7 linked regions of the Rattus norvegicus genome follow. The protein of the gene in region 1 interacts with the protein of each later gene in a pairwise test. Links are inferred from orthologs where the notes say so. Each region holds a gene or a part of one and is shown on either strand. Other genes may lie near its edges. The genes, in order: Ddit3, Tnfsf12, Fosl2, Hsd17b14, Cebpg, Batf and Dbp.

Evidence for each region.
Region 2: the proteins of Ddit3 (region 1) and Tnfsf12 interact in binary tests that used the Homo sapiens proteins (3 or more experiments, as listed by UniProt). The two-hybrid records come from large-scale screens. The link is inferred for Rattus norvegicus from reciprocal best matches to the Homo sapiens genes DDIT3 and TNFSF12.
Region 3: the proteins of Ddit3 (region 1) and Fosl2 interact in binary tests that used the Homo sapiens proteins (3 or more experiments, as listed by UniProt). The two-hybrid records come from large-scale screens. The link is inferred for Rattus norvegicus from reciprocal best matches to the Homo sapiens genes DDIT3 and FOSL2.
Region 4: the proteins of Ddit3 (region 1) and Hsd17b14 interact in binary tests that used the Homo sapiens proteins (3 or more experiments, as listed by UniProt). The two-hybrid records come from large-scale screens. The link is inferred for Rattus norvegicus from reciprocal best matches to the Homo sapiens genes DDIT3 and HSD17B14.
Region 5: the proteins of Ddit3 (region 1) and Cebpg interact in binary tests that used the Homo sapiens proteins (3 or more experiments, as listed by UniProt). The link is inferred for Rattus norvegicus from reciprocal best matches to the Homo sapiens genes DDIT3 and CEBPG.
Region 6: the proteins of Ddit3 (region 1) and Batf interact in binary tests that used the Homo sapiens proteins (3 or more experiments, as listed by UniProt). The link is inferred for Rattus norvegicus from reciprocal best matches to the Homo sapiens genes DDIT3 and BATF.
Region 7: the proteins of Ddit3 (region 1) and Dbp interact in binary tests that used the Homo sapiens proteins (3 or more experiments, as listed by UniProt). The link is inferred for Rattus norvegicus from reciprocal best matches to the Homo sapiens genes DDIT3 and DBP.

The regions. Positions count from the first base shown.
Region 1 is NC_086025.1:65,000,424-65,004,494, reverse strand, and holds the start of Ddit3 (DNA damage-inducible transcript 3 protein), read right to left. Parts: upstream 2,801-4,071; 5' UTR 2,766-2,800; coding exon of another isoform or gene 2,703-2,765; intron 208-2,702; coding exon of another isoform or gene 166-207; 5' UTR 160-165; intron 1-159. Other genes in the region: uncharacterized LOC128125814 homolog, read right to left, coding at 166-207, 2,703-2,765. UniProt on the Homo sapiens protein: Multifunctional transcription factor in endoplasmic reticulum (ER) stress response. Plays an essential role in the response to a wide variety of cell stresses and induces cell cycle arrest and apoptosis in response to ER stress.
Region 2 is NC_086028.1:54,902,116-54,905,514, reverse strand, and holds the end of Tnfsf12 (tumor necrosis factor ligand superfamily member 12), read left to right. Parts: intron 1-1,868; coding exon 1,869-1,993; intron 1,994-2,152; coding exon 2,153-2,404; 3' UTR 2,405-2,899; downstream 2,900-3,399. UniProt on the Homo sapiens protein: Binds to FN14 and possibly also to TNRFSF12/APO3. Weak inducer of apoptosis in some cell types. Mediates NF-kappa-B activation. Promotes angiogenesis and the proliferation of endothelial cells. Also involved in induction of inflammatory cytokines.
Region 3 is NC_086024.1:30,036,470-30,040,679, forward strand, and holds the start of Fosl2 (fos-related antigen 2), read right to left. Parts: upstream 2,801-4,210; 5' UTR 2,739-2,800; coding exon 2,637-2,738; intron 1-2,636.
Region 4 is NC_086019.1:105,164,236-105,168,494, reverse strand, and holds the start of Hsd17b14 (17-beta-hydroxysteroid dehydrogenase 14), read right to left. Parts: upstream 2,801-4,259; 5' UTR 2,735-2,800; coding exon 2,647-2,734; exon of another isoform or gene 1,851-2,646; coding exon 1,812-1,850; intron 1,695-1,811; coding exon 1,612-1,694; intron 684-1,611; coding exon 617-683; intron 1-616. Other genes in the region: Plekha4 (pleckstrin homology domain-containing family A member 4), read right to left, coding at 3,396-3,658, 3,758-3,870, 4,220-4,259. UniProt on the Homo sapiens protein: Catalyzes the NAD(+)-dependent oxidation of L-fucose, yielding L-fucono-1,5-lactone, which rapidly converts spontaneously to L-fucone-1,4-lactone. Can also act on D-arabinose and L-galactose, with lower catalytic efficiency. Does not use NADPH.
Region 5 is NC_086019.1:96,826,937-96,831,110, reverse strand, and holds the start of Cebpg (CCAAT/enhancer-binding protein gamma), read left to right. Parts: upstream 1-1,374; 5' UTR 1,375-1,533; intron 1,534-1,566; exon of another isoform or gene 1,567-2,266; intron 2,267-4,174. UniProt on the Homo sapiens protein: Transcription factor that binds to the promoter and the enhancer regions of target genes. Binds to the enhancer element PRE-I (positive regulatory element-I) of the IL-4 gene. Binds to the promoter and the enhancer of the immunoglobulin heavy chain.
Region 6 is NC_086024.1:111,083,402-111,087,516, reverse strand, and holds the start of Batf (basic leucine zipper transcriptional factor ATF-like), read right to left. Parts: upstream 2,801-4,115; 5' UTR 2,566-2,800; coding exon 2,503-2,565; intron 259-2,502; coding exon 154-258; intron 1-153. UniProt on the Homo sapiens protein: AP-1 family transcription factor that controls the differentiation of lineage-specific cells in the immune system: specifically mediates the differentiation of T-helper 17 cells (Th17), follicular T-helper cells (TfH), CD8(+) dendritic cells and class-switch recombination (CSR) in B-cells.
Region 7 is NC_086019.1:105,310,973-105,315,055, reverse strand, and holds the start of Dbp (D site-binding protein), read right to left. Parts: upstream 2,801-4,083; 5' UTR 2,400-2,800; coding exon 2,261-2,399; intron 1,419-2,260; coding exon 1,008-1,418; intron 988-1,007; exon of another isoform or gene 310-987; intron 192-309; exon of another isoform or gene 48-191; intron 1-47. Other genes in the region: Car11 (carbonic anhydrase-related protein 11), read right to left, coding at 3,508-3,533. UniProt on the Homo sapiens protein: This transcriptional activator recognizes and binds to the sequence 5'-RTTAYGTAAY-3' found in the promoter of genes such as albumin, CYP2A4 and CYP2A5. It is not essential for circadian rhythm generation, but modulates important clock output genes.

The sequences.
Region 1 (4,071 bases):
GACTTTGAGACAAGCCAGCTCTAAAACAACATTATGGGATCAGAGAAAGACATGGTCTGACAGCAAAAGCTGGTTCTGGTCAAGGCCTGGTCTAACTCTCATCCCAGCAAAGCAAGTTGAGCAGCATTAGGAGCTGACTGGGAGGGTGGCTAAGATTACCTGCTTTCAGGTGTGGTGGTGTATGAAGATGCACTTCCTTCTGGAACACTGTGGAGAAAGGGGAAGAAACAGGTCCTTTACCTCTAGCCTCTTACTGGTCTTTCTCTAGCTGGTTTCTTAATTTCTGTCATTGGATTTTGAGACAGTTTCTCTGTGAAGCCCGGGGCATCCTGGAATTCTGGAACTCAACTCTGTAGACCAGGCCACAGAGAGGCTCGTGTGTGTGTGTGTGTGTGTGTGTGTGTGTGTGTGTGTGTGTGTGTGTGTCCCTGAAGCCAAGGACAGGCATGCTTAACTTTATTTTTAGTTGCTGACATTTGTAGTCCTGATTACATAATAGCAAAGTCCTGGCCAACTAAGTTTTCTCTAAATCCAGATAGACCTCAGATCTGCCAAAGTGAGAACTAAAATACAGGGAAGAGAGATTTCAGCAGTATTTGCTTAAACTCCATTCCCATCCTAGCCTCCAGACCTGCCCTGGGATCTCCATCTCTTTTGGTTGTTGAGCAGGCATTCAGCTTACACAAAAGGCCTTTCCTACCAAGGGGGTACAGTTCTTACTAAATGGCAACTATAGGTGCCTAAAGCCAAACATTTGGTATCCTTAATTCCTCCCTTCTCAGATACCACAGCTCAGTCTAAAGCACTGGCAACTTCAATATTCTTTAGAAGTACCCAAAACCTAAATATTTCTCACTTTTTCTCATTATTTCCAGATGTAAACTTACCATGCATTATGCATTTCATTCCCTAGATTATTTTTGGAAGCCTTGAAATCTTTTTTTTTTTTTTTTTTTTTTTTTTTTTAGACAGGGTCTTGCTGTGTAGCTTTTGCTGTCCTGGAACTTACTTTGTAGACTAGCTGGCTTTGAACTCTGATCTACCTACCTTTCAAGTGCTGGGGTTAAAGGCATTTGCCATTATTTCCAGCTAAGATCTCCTGTTTCTATTCTTGTCTTTTTTATTTTCATGGCTGCGGGTTGACCTAGGGCCCTCTACATACTAGGCAAGCAGTCTACTATTGAGCTACACACTCAACCCTTTGTTTTTGTATTTATTTTGAGTTAGGATCTGACTATGCTGGCCTGGAGCTCAGAGCTCTGCCTGCTCCTACCTCTTTGAGTGTTGGAATTAAATGCATGGGGTCTTTCCCCAACCCTTTTAATTTAGGACATTCCTCTGCTCAGATCCCCCAATGGATTCCTGTTTCAGGACTGTTGAAAGACTAGCATCCTGAGAATGCTTGCAAGGCTCTACAGGACCTGCTACTTGAGTTTCCATTCACCACCCTCTCCTGCTTACTCTAGTCCAGCTCACTGCCCTGCTCCTAAGGATACTGGCACACTCATCTCAACCCTTCTGCTCCTTCTCTCCCTTCTATAAACCTCTTCCACATTACCTGCTTGGCTCACAGGCTTGCCTTCTTTCCATCTCACCCACCCACTGAGGCAATTCCTGAATGATAAAACCTCTAGCCACCATCCTGAACTATTTTTTCCCTGCTTCTGTTTTTCCCCCCTTTTGCTTTACATTGAAATGTAAGTTTTATTGAGAACAGTTTCGTCTTTTGCTTCTAATATACCCTGGATCCCCAAATGCTTGGCACATAGTGGGTGCTTATTAGGCATTTGTTAGGAACGAATAGAGAACAACTAAGCCCACTGAGCCCAAAGGCAGAGCTGAGCTGCCTGTCTCTGGGGACTGCAGACGCAATATTGCCCTGAGTGTTTCTCTGCAGGGTTGTCCTCTAGGGAAAACTCCTTGGTCTTCCAGTGTGTGGGACCTGGCTTTCATCAGCAGAGGAGCCCCAGGCCTGAGGGTGCAGAGACAAACAGTGGGCTGGCCTGATGCAACGGTTACAGAGATTAGTTGGGAGACAGGACTGAGGAAAGAAGCAGAGATCAGTCCTAAGAGAAGCAGAAGACCCTGGAGAGATCCCAAGTAATTTCCCATAGTTAAAGAGACCCAGGCTGCTCTCTTGTACGGAAACCCAGAAACCTCTGGGGAAAAGGGAAAAACCCATCTATGCTCCTCCCACCGGCACCCCCACTCGCAAAGATCTGTCAGTCTTTGAGTTGTCTTGAACGTTAGAGACAGCTACTAAAGTGGCCATGTTGGTGGTCCCTGAGGCGCTTCAGCTTGAAAGAGTTGGGGGGAATGAGGCTGGTGGAGAAGAGGTGCTAACAGCCGGAGTCCCCAACATTGGGGGGTGTGTCCTGTTGCCCCACCTTTCCTGCGAACCGCCTAGGCCTAAGATGGCCCGCAAATGGTCAGTACTGAGACAAATTTCCGAAGGCAACCGGAGTCCCTTTGCAGAGCAGGGACCAACCTGAGACAAGGGAACGGGAATGCAATCGCCCAAAGAGGTGGCCTGTAAGCACCATTCCCGAATCAGGAATTACCCGCCTTCACTCGCCCCTCAGTCTACAAACTCACAGTGGAAGGGGTGGGGCTACACCCTCAAGGACAGTTGCCTCTAACTTTGTGGAATAGCTATGTTGGCGAGGATGGGAAAGTAAGGGGTAGACGGAGTCAGTACTCGCCTCTCTCCTCAGGTTCCGGCTGTTATTTTGGCTCTGTCGCTGCCACCCGCTCATCTTCAACATGGTATGATCGACGTATTAGACTCAAGATACTGACCTCTGGAGCGGAGAGCGAGTATCTTTTATGCTATTCGGTCCCTCCTGGGGGGGGGTAGTGTCCAGGAGCCTACCAATCAGAAAGCGGCACGCTGGCACAGGCTCCGCCTCACCCCTCACGTCCGCCACTCAGGAGTCCCGTGGCCCCGCCTCCATCGCGCCCTCTGGCTCGAGAGTCTACGTTATCTCGGACCCGGAAGTGGCTTTGGGTCACGAGGCTTCGCAGAGGAGGTGAGTGAGTCATGCGCGCGCGCGGAGGAGAGTGCGGCGAGGGAGGGGATGACGTGGGGGGGGCGGAGGGGGAGCGGGGATGATGCAATGTTTGGCAACCGGTGTCCGCGCGCGCACGCGCAGGAGACGTCGATGGTGGTGGGAGGTGCTGGGGAGCGGGCGGGAGGGGGGGATGGGGGAGAGAGGAAAGAAGGCGGAGCGCCAGCTCACAGTGTCCAACGGCCCCAACGGCTGTCCTTCCTGAACTTGTCTGCCCACCTCCCATCACCTTTAACTTACTCCTCCATAAAAGACTCATTTTCCCTGGCCCCTCCCAACTAATGGGCACCGAGGCTCTTGAACCTCTTTAAAGTTTCCAATTTGTTCACCTGGATTGACATCTTCTGGAGTCTTTTAAGAGACCTCCTCCTCTTTTAGCCTTCTAACGCTTCCCAAAGACTGAGGTACTGGCATTTCCTTGGTAGTCCATCCGCTTCTCTCAGAAGGGCAGCTTTAACGTTTGTTTCAGAATCGTCCACTGCGTGCCAGAATTCAAGTTCTTTGTAGAGTGTAGCCTCCTGCCTACTTATCCTACCCCTGCTTTGTGTGATGCTCTTATGCCCTTCACTAAGCCCAATACCCACCCTTTTCCTTCTCCAAGATAGCAAGTCCTGTGACTCCCTGCTGATTAGCTGGCCTCATGCCTCTAGGTGTCTGGGTTCACGACCTAGAGACTGGGACGTGCATGCACTTGAGCGCATGATTGCCTGGACTGGGTCATTCTAGTTTAATTTGCCCAAGGAATCTACCGTACTCAGTTGTAAATTAAAGAATGATAGGTAAAGGTAAAAACAGCACTGTGAAGAAAACTTGAGTAAAAGTAAAAACATCTTGCAAAACCTATTTTTTGTGCCATGAAAACAGAGGCCATGTGGTGGCCTATTACATAGTCTGTCGTACACTCGGGAGGGGCAAGCCAGAGTTTGTCTAAGTAGAAACTGAACCAAGACCGGTTGCTATTGGATGGTGCGACAGTGACAGGTCCTTGGCCAGACTGCTCCTT
Region 2 (3,399 bases), on another chromosome or scaffold:
TCATGGACTCAGAGTTCCATGCCTACTACTTCCTTTTCCTTCCTTCCTTCCTCCCTCCCTCCCTCCCTCTCTCTCTCTCTCTCTCTCTCTCTCTCTCTCTCTCTCTCTCTCTCTCTTTCTTGTTTGTTTTGAGACAGGGTGTTTCTGTGTAGCCCTGGCTGCTTTGGAACTTGCTCTGTAGACCAGGCTGGCCTTGAACTCAGAGATCTATCTGTTTCTGACTCCCAAGTGCTGGGGTCAAAGGCATGTATCACCATGCCTGGCTTTCTTTCCAGTTTTCAACTACACTAGTTCTAGGGATTTCTTCTTGTGTGTGTTGTGGTGACAGAATTTAGAGTCCTAGGCGTACTAGCTAAGCACTTTACCACTGAGCTGCACGCCCAGCCCTTTCCCCGGTACAGCTCTGGTAATAGCTCTATTAAGACAGATTTCACATTCCATGCAGTCTGCCCGCCTGTGCAACTCTGTGCTCTTAGTCTGCCGTGACTAAAGTACACTCTAAAGTACAAGCCGTTAATCACCACAAAATATGGCTCTCACCTTTAATCCCAGCATTAGGAGGCAGAGGCAGGTGGAGGTCAGTCTCTGTGAGTTAGAGACTAGCTTGGTCAATATAGTGGACAATCAGAACAGCTAAGACTACAGAGAGAGATCCTATCACAAACAAAACCCCACAAGGCCAAGCCTCATAAAGTGGCACACACCCATAATCTCAGCACTTGCAAGGTAGCATAAGGAATCCAAGTTCATCCTCAACTGCACAGCAAGTTTAAGGCTAGCCTGAGCTACGTGAGACTGTGCCAAAAATAATAGTAATAAAAAGAGAAGAAGAAGCCATGTATCCTTTAGCCATCACACCATAGTCCCATCAGGGCTAGCCTTGGGCAATCACCTGCCCACTTGCTGTCTCTATAAACTACTTTTCCAGGCAGTTCCTGTGCTTGGGAGACTATGGCGCATGGTTCTTTCACTTAGCACAGTATGTTTAAGGCTTGTCCACCTGGTGGCAAGAAACTTCTTTATTCCTTTTATAGCAGAGTGAGGCCCAGTAGATAGGACTGCAGTGTTTGCTCATCTGTTCATTTGCTGATGGGCACTAAATGTTACTTTGTTTTGTTTTGTGACCAGCGTTCTCTGTGTATTCTTGGCTCTTCTGGAACTTGCTCTAAGACCAAGCTGGCCTCAGACTCACAGAGATCTGCTTGCCTCTGCCTCCCAAGTGCTGGGATTAGAGGCGTACACCATTGATGCTACGTATATTCCTATTTGTATAGGAAGTTTTAAACTCATAGCCAGTGAGCCTGTGGCCCGTCACTCATTTTTTTTTTAAATTTATTTATTTATTTTTATGTATGAGTACACTGTTGCTGTCTTCAGACACACCAGAAGAGGGCATTGGATCCTATTAAGATGGTTGTGAGCCACCATGTGGTTGCTGGGAATTGAACTCAGAACCTCTGGAAGAACAGTCAGTGCTTTTAACCTCTGAGCCATCTCTCCAGCCCCCGTCACTCATTTTTAATCGACTCAAATGATGTACACACAAACATGCACATGCATCTTATATGTTCAAGACACAAACCATGTTGATGAGATAGATGTGAAAACCCCAGCCTCTCTCTTACAGCACTGCTCTTCTATCCCCTCAGAAGCCCTGAAGTGCCCTGGTCATATACATTAGGTCTCCTCACACAATACCTTCTAGTCACTTCTTGTACCATAATGGCATGGCTCCACCTATACTCTGGGCCACTGATACCCTTCGGGGTAGGTTGTACCTCACAAATATGTAAACTTGATGGATTCTTAGGGAGTGTGGGGGAGTCTGGTAAAGGGCTTCTACTTATCCCTACACATCCCCTATCCAGGTGTGGATGGGACAGTGAGTGGCTGGGAAGAGACCAAAATCAACAGCTCCAGCCCTCTGCGCTATGACCGCCAGATTGGGGAATTTACGGTCATCAGGGCTGGGCTCTACTACCTGTACTGTCAGGTAAGCCCTGGGCTCCATGGGTAGAGCGATGGCTAAGGGGAGGAAGGCTTGGCAAGGAATGGGTGGGAGTGGGAGAACCTGGGTTTCATGAAGGAAGATGCCTGGATTTCGATGAGGGCAGGCAGAGGTCTGGATTTTGCTGGTTTCTCTCTGCTCCAGGTGCACTTTGATGAGGGGAAGGCAGTCTACCTGAAGCTGGACTTGCTGGTGAATGGTGTGCTGGCCCTGCGCTGCCTGGAAGAATTCTCAGCCACAGCAGCGAGCTCTCCTGGGCCCCAGCTCCGTCTGTGCCAGGTGTCTGGGCTGTTGCCTCTGCGGCCAGGGTCTTCCCTTCGGATCCGTACCCTCCCCTGGGCTCATCTTAAGGCTGCCCCCTTCCTTACCTACTTTGGACTCTTTCAAGTTCACTGAGGGGTCCTGCTCTCCCAGGTTCTTTAAACTTTAACCTAACAGCTCCCAGAGCACCACAGCACCTCCCCACCCCACGCCCACTCCTCCACCCTCTAGCTGTTCCTTGCTCCAGTCCTGTCCTCTCTTCCAAGGCAGCCAGGGCTTGATGACATGTTTTCCATTCCACAGACATATTCCCGTTCTTCTGTAACCTCCCACCCCACCACAGCTGCCCGCCTCACGAGCTCCCAAAGCCCCCACGTACCCGACTACCCCGCCCCAACCCTGGGACCCTGTTTTTACTGACTATGTGCATCAGGCATCAAGATAGGCTGGACCTGGTGGCAGGAAGCCAAAGAACCTGGGACTAGGCCAGAAGTTCCCAAATGTGAGGGGAAAGAGATGGAGACAAGCTCCTCCCTGGATCCCTGTGGATTTTGAAAAGATACTATTTTTATTATTATTGTGACAAAATGTTAAATGGATATTAAAGAGAATAAATCATGATTTCTCTTCTTTGGGGTTCAGTGTAACTGAAGGTTGTGGGAAGGGAATCTTAGGCTTTGGGGAATGGGGACCTGCAAGCCTCCAAGCTGCAGTTTTGAATAGAAATCACAAAGATACCAGAAAAAAAAAAACCATGCAAACAACAACAAAACCACCTGGTCCTCTGCACAAGGCGCTGCAGAAGCAGCCTCATTTTCCTAGCAGCGGACTTCCTCCTGCAGGGGAATCCCTGGCTGGGAGGAGCAGGGTCCTTCCTCTTGGCGGCCTCAGGACATTCAGCAGTTGAGCAGGTGCTGGCACGGGCCTGGCTAGGAGATGGAATGGAGCTAGCCCGGGAAGGGGCTCAGAGCCATAGGAAGGGCTCTGGTGGGCCAGCCGTATGGGTGTGGGGAGGAGTGCTGCGCTGACTGAGGGGCTTGGGGCTTTTTTCTTTTCTCTTTGTCCAGAGAACCTTATGTAAGAACTCTTCTTGGGAAACAGGAAGTCCGGCTTGCCAAGTTCAGCACAGG
Region 3 (4,210 bases), on another chromosome or scaffold:
GTTTTGTTTTGTTTTTCATTTGAAGGGGGCCTGGCTGAAGAAAACAAGTTATGAAATGACCTATGTTTGTGTAACTGGCTGGATTGCGTAATGCCAGGGCCCTGAAACCGTAACAGCCAAGGAGCAAGGCACAGCATATATCTGGAGGTGTTGTCCCAGGGAAAAAAAAGAAAATCACAACAATGAAGCAAACTCCAGGAGCGGGAGGGACATCCAGCTATCTCCAAGAAAATGGAACTGCCGGCGATTAACCTTTGAGATTGAGATTACAGCTACAGCAGGAAATATTTTTCATGTTCCGAGTTCCTGCCATGTACACCAGGCAGAGGTCTTAACAAAGCTGTCTGCTTCCCAAGACCTTATGAAGTTAGACAGAGAGGGGAAGTGGCGGGCAGCAAACATATCGGGGACACAGGACCCCACAAACAAGGAGAACAGGGAAAACCAGGAACATCTCACAATGATTGGTCTACAGTGCTACCATAAAGGAGGAAGGCCCAGTCACTAACTGCCAGGAAATCTTCCCGGTCCCCGAGAAGGCGGCTGGGAGCAGAGTTGATTTCAGACTTAATCTGGCATGTAATAAAGTTACCTTGAACCCAGATCAGGGTGCGTCGTAGCTCGGAGTTGGGAAGTAAGAAAAGCAGACGCCTATCATTGGGACCACAGAACTGTTTTTGCAGAAAGTCAGAGCAGGGAAGAGAAAGCCCTCCTCCCCTTCCCCATCTCCCACCCACTACATGGGCAAGGAGCAGAGAGGCCAGGCTGAGAGTTGGCTGAAGTGGCCAATGCCTCTGGTTTGAAAGACTTTTTGCTCCTGCCGCTGAGCAGAATGGGCAGCCGGACCTGAGAATCCCATGCACTGGTTGTTGCTAATTGCAAAATCCTCATGTGTTACAGCATGCTAGGAATTAGCCAACAGCTGCTTTTTGCTTGGGTAATGAGGCCCCATTACACACGGCTGGACGGAGCTCTCTTCCTTCATCCGAGCATCGGTTTCCTGTCTGATTTGCTTCCAAAACAGGGAATTGCCTCTGCTTACATCCTGGGCTCAAAGCCCTAGTGACACAGATTATTCAGTAGGGGCACTGATGTCCGGTCTGACTTCATCCAGGCCAGGAGATTGTACTATGTCAGTCAGTGCTCACTGCCTTGGTCTCATTAGTGGAAGAAACAGAAGAAATTCCAGGCTCCTACGATGATTGGGAAGGAGAGGTACCTGGGGTAGGGTTATTGGATTGGAAAGTAGGGGAACAACAGGTATAAATGACTCTAAATCCATTGGTGAATGATGTTTGGATTCAGCCCAAAACACCAACTGCACAGGGACACAAATATAAGCAACTACTTTTGAGATGTGATTTTGTGCTCAGTGGTAAGGGTTCATTGACTGCACCCTCAACGCTTAGACCAGGCTATCCACAGGGGGTGCTTAATAGGTATGGGGGAGGGCGGGTAGAGAGAACACACAGAAAAGCCATTTGTAAGGACTCTTCAGACATGGGACATTACTTTGAGAGATGCCTTTCTCATCAGATTACAAAGAAACCCATATTTCTATATTTCTCAGCTCAGTTCACCCCTCCCTGGAAGACCCCTGACCTCTAAAGGTCAAAGTCAAGGCCATAGCCATTGGCTTATGGAGTAACTCATGCTGCAGCCAGCTTGTCTAGGAACTCCCAATGCTGGCTGAGGTGGGCTTCAGGTGGCAGGGAACCTTGTGTGTGCATGCAATTCCCTCGCAAGTTCTTGTATGCGGTTCCTGCTACACAAGTCAGATACCCCACGGCCCCCCACCGCCCCACCAGTACCTACAGAGACATAGATTACAGGCAAGATCCCTCAGTGCAAACCAGTCTGGCTGCTTTAGAAAAAGAGTTGTTTTTCTACTTCTAAAACCACTCAGGAGCCCAAGTGATGTCTCTCTCTCCCACTTCTCTCTGACAGCTTCTTTGCCCCAGTACCCCCAAGCCCCTCAAGGATCTGCTCCGGGGGAAATACAGGCTCCTGCCCAACCCTTACCGGAAGCTGGAGGGGGGGTATCACAGAAGGTGTCAAGAGCCAATCAAAGCCAGCTTCTTCCTTACTGACCTTCGCACCTAATTCCCAGAGGCAACCCTCGTCCTCACTCCCAATCACTTGAAGGAGCCCAGCCTTGTTTCTGAGCCCCCAAGCCTTTTCAGAAAACAGCTAAGATCGAAGAATAACAGAAGAAAGAAGGGTTAAAAAGCCTTCCCCCGCAGGGTCCTTTCGGTTGGGAGGGGCTTAGAGGGTGCAAAGATTTTCTTGCCTATCCACTACCTAGAAAGAGGAAGGTGAAAAGGAAGGCAGAGCGGCTCGGAAGGAGGCAACAGGCTTCCCGGAGGGGACCTGCAGTATCATGAGCTTTTCTGGAAAATTAAGTAAGAAAAGGGGGAGAGGGTGTCGTTGGCTCTCCAAGCCCACTCTCCGCTTGTTTAAAAAAAGTGGAGGGGAGGGGCGGAACAGAACAAAACCCCACAACTTACAGCGGTGACCCCTAAGTATTTTTCTAGCTTAGCGAGGAAAGGGAAAAGACGGAGGTTGGGGGTGGAGGCACTGGGAGCGAGAAGAGGGAGTCTGCCCGCGCCGCCAGGTGCACCCCGGCCCGCACGTACCTGCTGGCCGCCGCCACCGCTGGAGTAGGACTCGGCGTGCGCAGGAGAGCCACTGCTGCCCCGGGACGAGGTGTCAAAGTTCCCGGGATAATCCTGGTACATGATCCGCGGTGGGGGCCGGAGAGGAAACAGGGTGGTTTTCTTCCCCGCCCTCGCCGCGGCCGCGCACAGTTTGCTGCGCGCTCGCTGGTCCACCGGCCCGGCCGCGGACTGGGCTTTTCGCTCCCGGGCTGTCCACCCAACCCAGGCAGACAGGAGGCAGCGACACTCGGGAAATGACCCCCCGATCGCCGCGCACCGCACTTCGTTTCTGCTCTGCAAGCTCCGCGGAACCGGTTGTCCACCGGGTCCCTCCCTCTAAAAAGTCGGCGCGTCCCTCGGTCCCTCCCCTGCGCGCGCCCTTCCGCCCCCGCGCGCAGCCCGAGCTCTGCCCGGACCTACGGGTTGGAGAAAAATGGGCAACGCAAAAAAGACTAGGAGCTCTGCGGGTGTCGCTTGGCAGCTCTGGGGGACTCCCTCTCCGATCTCCCAGGGCGCCAAAAGGGCGAAAAAGAAAAGCTGCCGGTTGGGAGAAACTTCTGTTTCCTCCTTTTAGAAAAGGAGCCCAAGAATAAACTTCCTGTGGCCAACTCGCCGCCTGAGTTTCCCGGCGACTCGGACACTTGACTTAGGACAAGGCGATGAGCGCCGGTCCAGCGGCCCCGATCGCGCCGGTGGGACAGCGCCCGTGGGGTTCCAGGCTGAGCGGTGCTGAGAGGGACGTGGCTCCGCGTCGCAGTGACCTGCACCCGGTGCCTGCTCTGGGACCGGCCAGTCTCACGCGTCTCGCCTCGCTTCGCCCTCCCCTCTCTCTCCCCCTCTTTCTTGCGCGCTCTCTCTCTCTGTCCCTGCCGAGCGCCGCTCGCTGTCTCTCTCCGAGCCCCTGCGCTCTGCCCGAGATGAGTCACTACAATGGCACGAGTTCAACTCCACACTCTTTATTCTCCAGCCCCGCACCATGTGGATCCACTCACGTCAACTGTAGACTCCACCTTGCTGGGAGGAGCGCTCGAGGCGGCGGGGGAGGAGGCCCGGGACAAGGAGGAGGAGGAAGAGGAGCGGGAGGGGAGGAGGCGGGCGCGGCGCTCCCCTCCCGGCCCTGCTCGCGGTCGCGCTGACGCCAGCCGCACACCCCGCGCAAGGAAGGCGGGCGGCGGGGAGGGTGGGAGCGGGCGGCCCCCGCACTACGGGGGCGCCGAAGCCGCCCGCGTTCTTGCAGATCTCCTCCACCCCCCTGGGGCGCAGCGCCCTTGGTCTGTTCCATTGGCGCACGTTGCCAAAGATGGTCATTTGCGTTAGAGGACGCGAGTGCGGGTTTCCTCGCATTCGGGTGACGTGGAGGGAGAGGGATTCCCTCGCCTGCTCCTGAGTGCGCTCTGGCCTCCCTACCTCCCCCCCCAACCTCCACCCCAAAAGGAAGGGGCGCGGGGCGGGGCCCCGAAAGCGGCCGCGCGGGCCTGGGCTCTGGGTTTTAGAAAAAAAAAAAAAAAATCGCAGCCTGAAGACCAGACGGGCGGCTCAGTGCGGCGCCACCG
Region 4 (4,259 bases), on another chromosome or scaffold:
GGTTTAGAGCATGGCTGCTGGTCCAGAGAACTAGGTTCAACTCCCAGCACCCACATGGTGGCTCAGAACTGCCTGTAACTCCAGTTGCAGGGGATCCAACTCCTTCTGGTCTCTGTGGGCACCAGTCATGCAAGGGGAGAACAGACATACATGCAAGTGTAAACACACACACACACACACACACACACACATGTGCGCGCACGCGGGAGGCAGAGGGCTATGTGTCCTGAGGAAGGGGTAAACTGAGGTTCAGAGGAAGGATTGGGCTGTTGAAATGGCTCAACTGTACCTTTACACTTGTGCCAAGCCTGATAACCTGAACTCAATCCCACATGGCCGAAGGAGAGAACTGATTCCCTCTTGTTGCACTGAACACCAGAGAAGTACTTACTGTGCATGAGAGTGCGAGTGCTTGTGCAAGCACACGCTTACACACATGCACATCGATAGACAGATAGATAATAGATAGACAGATAGATAAATAATAGATAGATAATAGATAGATAGATAGATAGATAGATAGATAGATAGATAGGGCAATAATTTTTAAGAGAGGAATGGGGAAGAGGGTATAAGTAGATGTCAGGGACACTGGCCTCCAAACCACACAACTTACGGTAGCCGGCATTATTCACCACACAATCCAGGTGACCAAATCGAGAGACAGTCTCAGAAATCAGAGTCTGAGGAGAGAAGAAAGAGCAGGTGATGAGCTGAGAGGTGACAGCCTTGGAAAAGCCAGGAGGCCCAAGGCAAGGATGGGCTCAGCTAAGGAAGACAGGGTAGGGTGAGGTGGAAGGGGACCAGGGCCACAGAATAGGTCTAGAAAGAGAGGAGGATGCAGGAAGTCGAGGACCCAGACTAAAAGGACTGATCCACACAGCACAGTTGCCACTTGTCACAGCGTTCCTATTGCTGTGATAAGCACCATGACCAAAAGCAACCTGGAGAGGAGATGATTAATGTCTGCCTACAGCTCCCAGGTCATATCTATCACTGAGGGAAGCCAGGACAGGGACTCAGAGCAGAAGCTCAAGGCTGGGACTGAAGCAGAGGCTGTGGACGAACACTGTTCGCTGGCTTGTTCCCATGCCTCGTCCAGCCCCTTTTCTTAGACTATCCAGGACCACCTGCCCTGCAATGTCACAACCCCCAGGGAGCTGGGGAAACTCCCACATCAACCACTAATTAATTAAGTGACCAACAGGCTTGCCCACATGCCAATTTGGTGGGGCCATTTTCTAGTGAGATTCCCTCTTCCCAATGACTCTAGCTTGTGTCCAGTCGATTTAACACTAACCAGCACACCATTTTAGAAGACTTCGGAGGGGTGTGTGTGCAGAAGACAGAGCCTCAGAAGGAGAGTCTACAGACCCGAGTGCAGTGGGGAGCAGAGAGACAAAGAAAGACAGAGGCCCAGATAGGAGCTAGACCTGGAAACACATAAGAGATTCTGAGTGCCAGGAAGTCAGAAACTTGTTACAGGAGCCAAGAGTTCAAGTCCTGATCATTCCTAAAGACCTGAGAGAGAAGAGGGCAGAAGGACGGAGGTGACAAGGGCATGGATACCCAGAGGGACTGGCGATGGAGTGTGGGACAGAAAACACTGACCTGTAAATCTCCTTCCTGAGTCACGTCACCGGGGATGAAGACAGTGCCCAAGAGTTCCTGCTCCACAGCCCGGCCCCCAGCCTCTGCAAGAGAAAGATTCTGGGTCCGAGGGAGGAGGCTTAGGAATGTGGGTCTGAGGGAGGAGAGCTATGCAGAGATCATTGATGAGGCAAGGGAGAGATGAACACTGATTCACTCACCATCCTTGTCACAGAAAACCACTTGAGCCCCACTGTCCACTGCCAACAGAAAGAGAACGATGTTACCTGCCCTGCAGACTTGCGTCACTGCCTCTGCTGCCCTCTTGTGGCCACCAGAGCACCTGCCTCTCTGGCGGCTCTCGTGATTGTCTCTCTCACAAGATTGTCTCCACTCACAAGAGCAACAAATTACCCTTCCTCATTAAGCCACTGCTTGGCCCCCATCCTGGATTCTAGAAAAATCCAAAACCTACAAACAATAAAACACACAAAGCTATCATTTGCAGCTAGGGACCCATCTGGGGAAGAACTTTTTTTTTTTTTTTTTTTTTTTTTTGGATTTTTGAGATAGAGTTGCTCTGTGTAGCCCTGGCTGTCCTGGAACTCACTCTCCTGGCTGGCCTCAAACTCAGAGATCCACCTGCCTCTGCCTCCCAAGTGCTGGGATTGTAGGCATATACCACCACTGCCAGGCCAGTGGAAGAACTTTTAATGACCGACCTATCAACAAAGACCCAACAATCCAAATGGATTCATGTAAGAATGAAACGGAGGGACCAGAGAAATGGCTCAGCGGTTAAGAGCACTGGCTGCTTTTCCAAAGGACACAGGTTCAGTTCCCACCGTCCACATGGCAGCTCACAACTGTTTATAACTCCGGTTAGGAGGGATCTGACAACCTCACCCAGGTACAACGACAACGCACAGAGAAAATTAAAAACAAACAAATCATTAAAGAAATGAACCTGAGTCTCCTCCTCCCACTGTGGGAGCCTCTGCCAGCCGCTCTTTCTCTCCTACAATTCAGGCAGCAGGCGGGAAGACCCTTACTCACCGAAGGCTCTCACGATCGCAGCCCCGATGCCCCGACTGCCCCCAGTCACCACCACCACCTTCCCAGAATATCGGCCTACTGCAGCCATTCCCAGCTATCTCGCTCGTGTCCCACACCCTCTGGGCCTCTTCCCACCTTTAAAGTCCAGAGAAGCGGGGGAGTGGAACCAGATATACAGGCTGGGTCACTGAAGGCTGACCCTGGCAGGGGGAGTTCCCAGGAAGGCACACCTAGGAGAACTGAGGACTCTCCTTCCTAGCCCTCTTTCTCAGACCCAGGGTCCCCACCCGTGATGATCCTCCTTCAGACCCAGGGATCCCCATCCTGACACTCCTCTTCCAGGCTCAGGGACCCCCACCCCAGCTCTGCCCCCTCAGACTGACTCTAGCCCTGCTCCCTTTGACTTGTAAGACCAGCACCACTTCTGCCTTGACTCAGGATCCAGACTCCAACCTCCTCCCTCAGACCCATATTTTAAGATGTAGCCCCCCAATGTCCTGTGAATCCAAGGCCCTGACGCTTGTTTGTCAGAACACAATGTCACAACCACAGAGAGAATAAAGCTATTTATTGACTAGTTCAAAGTTTTAATCCAAGTTCGGACAGTGTTGGGATAATCAATCTTTGACCATCATAGCCCCGGCCCTCCTAGAACACAGGCTGAAATGAACCTCTCCCCTGTGGTCCTGAATGGTCCCACACCTCAAGGTTGTGCTTCCAGCCTTTAGCACCCAGTGCAAAGGCAGGAGTCAAAAGCTGGACTGCAGCAGAGTGACTCTCAGGGGCCATGCCCCCTCTTCCTGGGCCAGAGCTGGAGGGGCCTTCCCAGGGTCCCACCTGGGCTCCCACGGAGCCAGGCCTCTCCCACTCCCTTGGCATGAGAACCCTGTGGTAGCCGAGTTAGCCTTGTGAGAAGTTGGGGACGAGGTGACCTGGGGCAGCTCTTCACTGGGAGGCTGTGGACTTGGCTGGAGACAGTCTCCCCTGGTGTCCAAATTTCTCTCTGGAGAGGCTAAACGGAGAATGAGAAAAGTGTTAACTTAAACGTGTAAAGTCCAAACTTCCAGGCCTCCTTCCTCAGATGCGGGGGTTCAGAGCCTGGGCACCTCACCTGTCATCAGCCTGTGCCACTGGGAAGCCTCTGTAGCAAGAGCTTGGGAGAGGCTGAGCACTCGTTCCCGGTGGCCTCCAGACACGGGTGAGTAGGTTGTGGAGTGCCTAGGACTACAGAAAATAAGCCACGTGTCAAACAGGCCACCGAGGCTCCCGGGGAGTTCTTCCTAGCTTTTATCTAGAGGACGTTAAGCACAGGCTTTGTTACCAGTAGACCAGCAGGGAGGTCACCATTACTGGATGAACAGCTGGATCTGATTCAGGCCACAAGAGCTCTGCAGTCTCTGACCCACCACCAGGGGCTTCCTGGCTTTTTTGTAGTTACCTCGGGAACTCAAGGGACTCAGAAGTTCTGGGGACTTGTTTGGTACACAGGAAACTATAATAACACCACTGCTCCCCTGTCTGCATCAAGAATTGACCCCCCCACCCCATTGCAGCTCCCACTCTAGATCCATACCTACTCCATGACCCGGAACTCCTGAGCCATTTCGCAGCTC
Region 5 (4,174 bases), on another chromosome or scaffold:
GGGACAGCAAGTTCGTCTTCTTCATTGCTGACTCCTAGTCCACACCACATAGCTGGTCCATGTTTGTAAACAGCAAAAGAATCACAGGCTATCAATTAAAGAGGAAATCTCAAGACCCCTGGGCATTGACTGCTGGCTGTGGGAGGCTTGCCAAGAACCAACACAGAATGCAGCTGTCAGGGAGGGTAGCTGGCAAAAAGAGAGTCTACCTCAATGTACATATGACATACAAGGATATTTTTATTTTCTATAGTTTTTATATGATTAGAAAATATTAGGGATAAGATCATGATTATTTTGTGAGAAACAAAGCACAGTTCATCTTTGATAGTGCTAAGAGTCATGAAAAAAAAAATGGCTCTTAACACAGCGATCCAAACCTAAAGAAACATACTGGTTTTGAGACAGCTCCCCAAATGTGCATAGGGTTATCAGGAGTCATTCTCTGTGTTTGCCTGTTTTTTGTTTTTTGTTTTTTGTTTTTTTGTTTTTTTTGTTTTTTTCTTTTTTTGTAGGTATTCTCATCTCTCAGGGATTCCTGGAAGTCTTAAGTGGAGAGCTGCTCTCCTGGCCTTGGCGCGGATGAAGAAACATTTCTTTTTGAAAGCCAGTGAGTTTTGAATGATAAGCATTGCTAAAGAGGAAGCAATCAAACCTATCTCTCAGGCTCTGCCCTCCACCCAGCACGCTGCTTCCTGTACTTCAAAAAACAAAAACAAACAAACAAACAAACAAAACCCAACAAAACCAGCTTTTTGATTCTTTTGTGAACTGTTTGGGAGAACCAGGCTGGACTGCTTGTCACTTTTAAGACAGCACCTCAGGTCCATCATCCGCTCTCACAGAGACGAGCACACTTTGGAAATCGTGATTTGTCTGAGAGCCACAGTCTACTGTTCTCAAGAGTGTGACAAGTGCTAACCCTAGCACTGGACAGTTTTTCCTTAACGTGCTTTTGTCAAAATGAAGTTTGCAGACGCCCTAGGGCCGCGAGGCCTAAACAAAACAAAAAAAATCAAAATCACTAACTCAAAAATCCACCCGAGGAAATGCCATTTCCCTAAGGCAGGTGAGACTCTCATTACTATGACAGAACTTTTCTCGCTACCGGTCACTCCCATCGCTCAGGGCCGCCGCCCGCCACCACGGACAGCCTAAGGGGGAAACCGCGGAGCGCGCCTCCAGCCAGCGCCGGTGCTACCACGCCCACCACGCCCGCTCCGCCGTAAGTCCGCCTCTTGCTGCCACCCTGGCTGTGATTGGCTGGTGGAGCTGCCGGTCTTGAGAAGCGAGCGCGTCGTTCTCCGAGCAGCGCTTCTATTGGTCACGGCTGCGGCGGCAGCGCGCGGACCCGAAGAGGAGGGGAAAGCCGGTGGCCGCGGTGGCGGAACGGGCGGAGGCTGCCGGTTTCGTAACCGTCGCTCCTCCTCGCCGACTCGCAGGCTGCGAGGCCTGGGTAGGGTCGGACCGCGCCGCGCGGGGCCGCTCGGAGTGGAGGCCGTCTGGGGGCGGGCGGGCCGGCCGGAGGCGCAGGTAAGGAGGCCGCGGGTTCTAGCTCGGAGGGGTTGGGGGAGGAGGCCGCAGCGGAGCCCGCCGCTCGCGTAGGCACCGGCCGGGCTCGAGGAGACCCGGCCCTGCCGGATTCAGCAGGTTGGCCCGGAAGGCCCCCGGCGGCTTGGCGGCGCGGGCGGGGACCGGGAGCGGCGTCTGATGCAACCTGCGGGCAACACCCGGCGGGGCTGAGCTCATCCCTGGCCGCGGCCCAGCGCCGCCGCGCAGGGCGCCGACCCCCGCGCTCCCCCAGGCGCCCCCTCACCACAGTCGGGGAAGGGATGGAGTACCAGGTGGCCCCTCCAGAACCTGCTCCCCGGCGACGTGCAGCGTGACAAGCCTGGCGCGCATTGGCCCCTGGGAATGGAGAGTGTTTCTAGAATAGAAGATGGACCGAATCTTACTTTGGAGCCACCTAGGACTCTTCTGTCGCTTCCCAAACGGCTCGGTCTGGGGGAGGAGGGCCCGGGTCCTATTTGGAGTTAATAACCTAGTGGTCATCTAGGGAAGGCACTTGATTTTTTAAACACTTAGCGCTGCAAGAGGGAGATTTCGTTTGTTTTTTGGGACGCGGCCGCGTGTCTTGTAGTTCATTGGGAGGGGAAGGACATCCTAGATAGCGCACCGGTTCACTAGACGCAGAAGGTCAAGCCATGAAGCCTTTCCTTAGCTCGCCTGGAGGGAACTCGGGAAAAGAGCCAGCAGACGAATACAGGTGGAGAAGTTGGGCGGCGTGCGTGAGGATTGTTTCTCTTTCTAAGTGCGCTTGTGTATTTCTGGTCTTAAGAAGGCTGGCATGCTTAGATTTGCTCTGCTCTTTGTTGTATTTTGTTTGTTTCTTTGTAAGCCGCCTCATAAGATGTATCAAATTTAGAAAGGTTTTAACCTTTGTGAGTTGCACAACAGCTGGGGCCTGTGTCTCTGGAGTTTCCACCCGCTTGAATCCTTACTTGAATATATTATCATTGAATGCATACCTGTCTCACAGAGGAAATTTTGAAATAAAGCACCCCGTCTTTACTGAGAAATTCAACATAGAAGAATTCAGAGCATGGTAGGCAAGCCACTCTACCTCTGAGCCGCATCCCTAGCCTTCAGAGCGCTCTAAGGTCCGTTCAGCTGTTGTCATTTGAGTAGTATTAATAAGCTATCCCTGCGGTTCTTACCTGTTCCTGAAAAACTGTAGATAATGGCAGGACGCTACTGAGCTGAAGAAATACTTGAGTCTGTTTCCTGAGTCCGATGGGCATGCCCGACTGACTCAGTTATTTTTATGACCTATCAGAAACAAATAGGTGGGAGCAGACTTCCCTCCCCCTCCCCCAATATCCTTTAAATTCTCACACCACGTCATGATTGCCAGCCAGCTCTGTGATCTTGGAGAGGTCCTTTCATCCCTAGCGAATTAAATGCTCCCTAGGAAAGTCCCTGGGAGCATTCCCTTCTGAGATCATGGGAAGACACACAGGACCTGGTTGACAGTTGCCACAGTCACAATAATGAGTACTGTAGCAATTTTAGGTTTCCCTCAGAGGGGTGGTTGCATAGGTTCTTACACTAGCAAGTTTATTGGTCCTCTCTCTAGTCCATTGCTGTGCCCTGCCATTAAAGAGAGGGAAAAAAGTGAACAGGAACTCCTAATAAATATAGTTATAAACAATGTATTTTTGAATGTGCTAAATAGTACTATAAATAGATGTAAAGGATAACATCCAAACAAGCTTATGTTTTCTTCACAACTCCAGTGGACCACTTACACTGAACTCCTTGAAGGAGTCTCCTCTCCTTCATGGACTCTGCCTCCTACAGTCTCCAGGGAGCTGGGATTGCCAAAGAGACTGGGGGAGCAGATTGAACAAAAGGCACAAAGAGAAAACAGAGACCATTTAGAATGCTTTAGGGAGCAGAACTTGTAGAGAGGGTTAGGATCTTGGCTTTGATCCTGTAGTCACAGACATTGATTTTTAGTAGCAAGATGTGACATTGTTAGGTTTGAATGGAAGACTGCTTGACTTGCAGGTACCAAACTCTTTGAGGTCAAATGACTGATCCTTTTATAGGGGTCACCTAAGACCATCCGAAAACAGATATTTATATCATGATTCATAACCATAGCAAAATTACAGCTATGTAGTAGCAACGAAAATAACTATGGCTGGGGGTTGCCACAGCATGAAGAACCTGTATTAAAGGGTCAAAACATCAAGAAGGTTAACTATTGCTCTAGATAATCTAGATAGTGGGTGCTTGGAGGGAGCTCAGGCTGCTACACCAGAGGCTAGGGCTCCTGGGAGATGATGTCAACCTGAGGTAATTTCTGTGGCATTAGGAACGACAAGAGATGTGGGATATTTTTGTTTGTAAACCTGAAGACTCAACCTTCATTAAGGAAATTGAGTGAAGATTTGATTTTGGGGGGCTAATGGAGGGATACATGGTTCTATCTAGGTTTATGGAAAAAAGTGACAAGCTAGGGAAGTTCTGTACAGGTTTATTGTTCCAAGTAAAAATTTAGACAAGTTCTATTTTACTATTCTAACATTCCAGAGTTTCATTGTTTTATTCTTTTGAATGAACATTATTACTTTAGTTAATAAATTTGCATTTGAAGAAAGTTTTACTC
Region 6 (4,115 bases), on another chromosome or scaffold:
AGGGAAGCCTTTCCCCACACCCGACCCCATGCAGCCCTTGCCCTCTTTACTCTCCCCACGACAGCAGACTCATCAAAGCTGGGCCCCACGGCCCTGCCGGTGAGGGAAACAGAACCTAAGGGTAGGAGTGTGGTAGGAAGTGTGGGTACTCACCAGGTGAAGGGTGTCGGCCTTCTGTGTCTGTCTCTGTCGGCTCTTCTGGGCAGCAATGCGGTTCTTCTCTCTCCTCTGAACTTTCCTCACATCATCGGATGAGTCCTAGGAAGCAGAGGTAACAAGGGTAGGTCCGATCATTCCTCTTCTAGTCAAAACTCCTTCCTTCCTTCCTTCCTTCCTTCCTTCCTTCCTTCCTTCCTTCCTGCCTGCCTGCCTGCCTGCCTGCCTGCCTGCCTGCCTTCCTAGTCCTCAGTTCTTTCTGTACCATCCAAAGACATTTTCTTCAGCTTTCCCTGCTACCCGCCCTTGGGTCTCCCGTGGCCTTCTTTTGACCAAAAGCTACTGGAAGGTGAAGAGAAACTGAGGCCTCAGAAGTGCTGCTTTGGGGAACACCAGTTAAGACAACAAGGTCTACCCCAATCACTTCTACTCTCTCCAGACCTGCTTTAGCCTTACTCTGTGTGTGTGGGGGGGGGGTGTGAGTGTGTGTACATGTGTGTATATGTGTGTGCATGTGAGGTGTGTGTGTGTGTGTATATGCACACATGTGTGCATGCACTAGGATCTTCTTGATGTTCCTTTTGCTATTTTCTTTGGAAACTTTGCTGAGCATCTGCCATGTGCCGACTTCTGTACGGGCGCTTTCAGAGGCACTGCGATACAATCCCCCAGCTCCCTGAGCGGCTGCCATCTTTTCTGTTTTACACAGAACAGACTGAGCTCATGCCATCCAGGGGTATGACATGTTCTGGTGCTGTTTCTAAATCCCATCTGAGAATTCCCTCCTGACTATTAATTTCACTGTGATACACCCTTAGGCAGAAGGCACCTCTCTTTCTTTTATTCATTCGTTCCTTGTACAACCATCTTGAGATCTCCCTAGTTCTTAACATGATGCTTACTACAAATGAGGTACCAAAAAATCAATTTATGAAGTGCAGGTCACCTGCTTTTTGGGCCACCAATAGGTGCCTTGGAGGACACAATACTCTTTGGGTGCTCTCTAAGTATATCCTTTGAAGATGAGGGAAGAGAAGCCCTTCTGCATCCCCTACCCTGTCACCTCCACTGGTCTGAGAGGCAAAGATCCTTGGGTCAGGCTCTGACTGCCTTCCCTCTTTACTCAAACTTTCCAGGTCATTCTAGCAGGCCGACATTGAGTTAGAGAGAGCAAGGATGCACTCTTTCTATATAATTCGCCAAGGGACTAGGTTACCATGGCAGCTGTAAGTAATTTCCTTCTTAAGAAGACTAGGGTACCATCTTCCAGGCAGCCTGGGTTGCCCTGATACTACTGTGAGCGAGAGACTGACTGTCTCCTTCTTGAGGTCTTCACCAGTATGGCTTTTGGTGAGGGGCTTGTGACAGATGTGAAAGCAGGTGGTCAGATAGTATATACAGTTATTTTATTTGTAGCATTCTGCAGCTCCCTGGATGTGTGTAAGGCTAGCACTCTACCTCCGAGCTATAGCCCCTCCCGATATGTGTGCTAAAGAAAGAATGTAGTTTTTAAGCTGAGGTGTAAAACAAAGTTTAATCCATGGGTCTAGGCTGGATGAAGAGGAGAAATTTCTAGGGCAAGAAGTATCAAGAATGTGGAAGAGAGACCCAGAAAGTGCAAGGTGGGACGGGCATCCCAACAGAGGCATCTCTCAAACTGAGACTTGGTATCAATCAAGAGTGTAAGAGTCTCAGAATCTTTCCCTCCATCCCCGGATTTTCAGTAACCGATATGAGCTACTGGTGAAGGTCTCCAGCGCGTCTTCTGGTCCATGGGCTTCTTTCTTCTATCTGGAAGCCACAGGGGGAAACAGATACAAGTTGTAGCTTTAGCCTCCCTCCCCACTGGCTGCTCTAGTTACAGAGGCAGTCTGCGGGCAGATCTTGCCGCTCTTTTCCTGTCTTCCTCGCTTTGGTTTACTCTATTCTTTCTTCCTGACTTCGGTCCTGTCTTGCCGCTTGGCTCTTTCTGGAAAGTTCTAGGATTTGGGTGGAGCTCACGGCAGCGATCTACTGGAACATCCCTCTGCTTACGGTTGACCATACTTCTAGGCTCTGTGATAGTCACCCTGCCCCCAGCTTCCTAGAAAGTTTCAAGGTGGGAACCTAAGTGGCAGAGATGAGGGGTACCGCTTGGAAAGGGGGACTTTTGTGGCAGGATGCGAAGGCTTCACCACTTGAACCTCTGTATAGCAAACACCACAAGTCCAGAGTCCGCTAGAAAGCTCTTGCCACGAGCTACTTCCTTCCCCGGCCAGAGCTCCCTGAGCTGAGAGTAGACTGCCCCTTTTCTACCACCCCGGGAAAATCAGAAGACAGCGCATGGGGGACGTGGGGGAGTAATACCTGCTTGCCGGGGGGAGGAGAGCGGCTGAAGCTGGAGTCGCTGCTGTCGGAGCTGTGAGGCATGGTTGTAATCTTCCGGACTCTCCCACACTGTCCCAGATGCCTCTGGGCGATCTTCTCACTAGCAAGCTCCCCTTCTTGACTGCCAGGGGGCCAGCAGCGTACCACCTTCCACAGGTGCCTCCCCTGCTCGTCCTGCAGCTATCTCCGATAGACCCCTGCGTCCTCCTCTCTCTGGGGTGCAGAGGGACTGCTCCCCACAGGGACATCTCGCTCACTTTGGGGCTTGCGCACAGGCCCTCTCTTGTGGTTTCTGGTAATTCAAGCTGGAAGTCACATGGGCGGAAACGTCAACAAGTAAGAAGGTAGCTAGAAAATACACATCTGGGAAAAGACCATAGAAGTAGGTGAAAGAAAAAAAAAGATACACAAACCCCCAGTATCTTCCGGCAGTTTGAGAGCAGAGCTAGTGCTCTTCATTCGATGAAGGTAAAGGAGGAAAAACAGCCAGTTAGGGAAAATCCCCAGCCAGAATTAGCAAGTTCTCTGCTGTCAACATGGCAGAGAGCGGCAGGAAAGAGCCTCCAGGTCACAGGCCTTGATTTTAAAACTTAAATAACAGTAAGGAGCCTGGGAACCGTTTCTGGGTTTCACCCGAAGCCGCTGCCCACCCTGATTTAGGCTGACTTTCCTCATTCACCTACAGGACTGTGCGGTGGTCTGGGGACAAAAGCAAGGAGGGCACTCCCTTTTACAGCCGGCCAAACAGATAGTTGGAGCTACTGAGTCTCGAATGGACGCTAGAGAAGTTTACTATTTATCCCCCGTCTACTTAGCAGGACACTCCCATTCTCTCTAGAGAAAAGATACCTTCTGTGGAGAGGCTCTTTCAAGAGTTCAAGGTTGACCTTGAGTATTCAGGAGTCAATGAGGTCAGAACCCAACGAGGAGAAAATGTCAAAATGAGTGACGGAGGCTCTGGACTTGGAGTGAGATCGGCCATGATGAGAGCCCACCCGACCCCTATTCCTACTTCCCACCCTCACCCATACCCCACACCTGCCTACTATCTCTCAGTTACTGCAACGAGAGGGTGACAATTGGAATAGCAATGTCCCCCACCCTGTGAAGCATGCTGCCTGTGGAGATGGTCGTGCTTGCCATGTGTCCCATGACAGGAACATGCTTGTGATTTTAGTGAACAATCCTATTTTCATCTGGGTCTTTTGGCTAATTAAAAAAAAAAAGTCTGGGCCCTGGAAAGATGTTCAGCAGTTAGTAGTGCTGGCTGCTCCTTCAGAGGATATCGGTTCTGTCCCCAGCATCCACACAGTGGCTCACAACCATCTGTCTCTCCAGTTCCAGGGGACCCTTCTCCCTCTTCCTGCCTCCTCAGGTACCAGGCACACATTCGATGTGCAGGCCAAACACTCACACATATTAAGATAAAAGCTCTCACTACATTCTCAGTATGGCTCAAATGTTCCTTGTTTAACCTGAGGACTGACAATATGTTATAGCTCCTAAAGCATTTTATTATCCACTAATTAAAGTTTTAGTATCCACTGACTGAAATTCCGCCTGACAGCAATATGGTTCTAAGGACAAACTTA
Region 7 (4,083 bases), on another chromosome or scaffold:
ATTCAGCGTTATTTTTGTTCCCACTGCCTTGTCTGAGTCCTACTTACTGAATCCTTGCTCTGAGCTTAGACTTGTTAGACTCACTGCTAAGAGTGATGGAGGTTCCAGGAGCTTGGCTAAAAAAGGTTGACTCCTGTGTCTTTAAGAACAAAAAAGACAGGGCCAGCCGAGGACACCAGTTCAGGGCCGCGTCACGTGTGGCCTACAGCTTCCCCTTTCCCCTCCTCCCCACCAAGCACCCGCACGTTCCCGGGCCCCCGCCTCCTCGCGCGTGAGAGCGCGTGCGCGCAGTAAGGAGGGAGGACTCACGTGGCGAGGGAATGTGCAGCACTGGTTTTGCCTGGAGGTCGGATCAGGGACAGGTGTACCCAGGCGTCCCACATCGAGACTCCTTGTCTTGATAGGGATCGCCTCCCTTCTTGTTCCTTTTGGTCTCAGCTCCAACAGCTACAATGATTCTACCCACCCACCCCGCGCTATTGGGGGGGGGGGGGCGGATCGTGGTAGAACCGGCCTGTCAAGCTCTTGGCCATCCAGATTCCCACAGTTCTGAGATCCTAGGTCCCCAACGCAGGAATATGGGGAGCTCCTCTGGAGAATCCAGAATCGGGATCCCGACATTCTCTGCTGCAAGACTCTGGGAGGCAGGATGCAACACCCTCCACTTGGGGGTGGGGGGCAGAATCCGGGAACCTAGTACCCCGCTCTGGCCTGCTCGCTCCCATTTTAGGTGTCCTTGAAGTCCAGTCCTATCTGGTTTCCCAAAATTCTGGACCCAGACTCTGGAGTTAGTACTTTCCAGTTAACTAAGGTGTTCTGAGTTTCTAGTCTTGGCTCCAGGAAAATGAGGAAACTTTTGTATTAGAGAAAAATATATCCTCTCACTGAATAATCCTCTCGCATTTGGGGACCCAAGTCCCCTAAAGGATCGCAGCATCTCATTGGGCAGACTTCCAAAAGTGTCGCGAGGCCCCTCCCTGCCCGCCAGCCCCGCCCCTTCGCCGCACCTGCGCGGTGGCCGCCGGCGGCTCCCAGAGTGGCCCGCGCGGGGGCGTGCCCGGGCGAGGAGCGGGGGGAAGAGGAGCTGCAAGAGCCGGGCCCGGGGGAGGGCGCGGGAGTGCGCGCTGGAGAGGGTGCCGGCGACAGGCCCCCGGGGGGCGGCGGGCTCGGCGGTAGCCCGTGCTCCAGCAAGAAGGCGTCCAGGTCCACGTATTCCACGTCCCCGAAAGGCAAAGTGCGTTCCCACAGCAGCGGCGCAAAAAGACTCGGGCCAGCCACAGGCCCTGAGCGCCCCCGAGGGGACCCACCGCCACTAACCGCCCCAGTTGGGGCATCCGCTGGGCCCGCCGTTTCCAGGACGGGTCCCGGGACGGGGGCTGAGGGCAGAGTTGCCTTGCGCTCCTTTTCCTTCAGGAGACCTGTAGGCCAGGGAGAGACCGGATGGGGTGGAGGGACACAGGAGGGACCCCAAGTCAGAGATATGGCGGAGATACAGAGAAGTGAGACGGGAGACGTAGGGTAAAGACCCAGGGAGGCGGGTACAGGCAGGGAGAAAACACAGAAAAAGAAGACAGGGATGAAGATGGGGCTTGGGGAGACCCAGAGAGAGAAGAGGAAGAAGGCCCCAGCAATAGAGACGGTCAGGAAGACGGGGACCCAGAGAGGGGTAAAATACAAAAGTATACAGAAGGATAGGGTTAGAGACCCGGGAGGGGATTAAGGGATACAAGAAAGCGACCCAGAGAGCGAGGATGGAAGTTTAGAAAGAAGGGTTTAGTGACAAGGTGGGTGAAAGGTTGGGCAGGTGAGAGAGAAAAAAAGTGACAGCTCAGTAATTCCCCCACCCCCAGTATCCTCATCCCCTCCCCCACAATCTGTTAGCGCTGGAAGGGGCTCCATTGCTCAGGCACATTCCTCACCCTTACTTTCCATGTGACCCTGTGAGGCCCCGCCCAAGCCCGTGTCTGCACCGTGTGAGCATCCGACACACCCCCTCCCTTCCCCTAGGACTCCAGGGGTCCAGATTCGGAGGCCAAAGGGAAGAAAGAGGGGTCTGGCACCTAAACTCTGTCCTCATGGAGGAACACTCCGGGACTTGACTCTTAGGCCCTCCAAGCGTCATATTTGGTCCTGGACCCTGAGGGACTGGAAGATCTAAGTGACCAAATAAAGACTAGCAAAGATGGGACACCTAGCTGATAGGTGCCGTATACCACCACCCCAACAGTAGAGTCTCTAACACAGTGGGACTAGAACTCACAGCTGGCCGGTTCTTTGGGCTTGCTGTTTCCCTGCAGAAGGCTCCTCAGCCCAAGCAGCGCTCCCCCGCCAGGGGGGGCCCCAGCCGGGCCACCCAGCAGCAGGGGGCCCGGGGTCCTGTCGCTCAGAGGCCGCGCCATTTCCGGGCACCTGCTCCCAGGTTCATGAGCTCATGGAGAGTCGAAGAGATGATATGTCAGTCACCCGCACACTCCTGTGGCTCGGACGAATGTGTCCCAGAGTCGGGCGAGCGCGGCGAGCAAGCCTCCAGTATCAGAACGCTTCAAATCCTACGAGCACTGCGGGGGCTCAAACAGTCTGCTCTGCAGAAAGGTGCAACTCAAGAGTGTCCCGGGAGGCTCCTATAGTCTGGGCGAGTGGGTGACCAAATCAAGCAGCTGTCTCTTTGCAACTGTGGGTCCCCAAGGGACACAGGCGCGCGCTCCTTCTGTACCAGGTGGGCGAGACTCTGGCTCTAGCCAATTTTGCACTTCTCGCAAAGAAAGGAGCTTTGCAATCTGCACCCAGAGGTGTGCACCCAGGGACGGAGGAGGGGGCAGGAGGAGGCGGCAGCCTTGAGGCGTGGCCAAAGCAAACTTCTTTCGCGGAAAAAAAAAAAATCCAAACCAAAACACCCGACGCCAGAGCGCGCGCCCCTCCTCCGGGCCCCCTCCCTTCTCTTGGGCCATGCACCCCAGCCGCGTGCCTCCCTCCGGCTGCTAGCAAAAGCCAATCGTTTCTCGAGCCCTTGAGACGCTCAGCCAATGAAATTAAGGGATCTGCCAAGGCCCTGGAGGCGCGTGAGGGGCTGAACTTGTGGAATTGCCTCGCCTTTGGAAGAAGGCGGGACACTGACCTACATATGGCCAATGGGATGAGGCGCTGGAGGCGGGACCGTGACCCACTTCGAGCCAATGAGACAGGAAGAAGGGGGAAGCACATGGCTCTGCGCGTGCTACCGGATGCGGGTGTTGGGCAAGAGGGGTGCCCCTTAAAGGAGCCGCGTGTTCACAGACTCATTGTTTGAGGAAAAAAGCTTAACACCAATTAGAGCAGGTTAAGGCAGAAAGACCTGGGCTTCGGGAAGGATTATTTTTTAATATCTAGATATTTCTCAATCGCAGCTGATAATCAAACCACCGAGAAACTGGAAACATTCAGTCCCTTTAATAGCTTTGTTTTGGGGTGAATTCCCCTCCCCTGGTGAGGAAACTCAGAACAGGCGGGCGTAATCCTCGTTGGGGAGTCTCAGCGACCATGAGGACCACCATCCACTGCAAAAGAAAGCACCGGCTTGAGGGGTGTGGGAGTTGAGCGCATAGGGCTGTACTACAGTCAGGCTGCTAAGGGGGAATGGAATATACCAAGTTGGTGAAAATGGTCAGCTCCTGGACCGGACCATATAGAGAGGGAAGAAGGCCACGTGGGACGTGCAGATTAGGCTGGTTTGCATAAGGGTAGTAATACAGGAAGGGGATATGGTCATTTGAGCCGTACCATGTTGAGAAACCAGACAAGAGGCCAACAGATTTCCCCAGGGCACAACCACCTTCAGGAAGACAGAGGGATTGTACCACACTGATTCTCAGAAAGGGGATAGTTGTCAAGACTATAGCCCTTAAGTAGGGTCATACCATTTGTAAGCAGGTGACTTGGACCGTACCATCTTGGAAAGTGACAATATTGCAGAGGGCATGGACCAGTATGTAATTGTACCACAAGGAAATCAGAGGGTGTCAGGCCTTAGCACTAAGCTGCGAAGAGGGGTGGGCTGCACTACTGTTTCATACTGAGAGGTGAGAAAGTACGAGGGGCATGTCACAC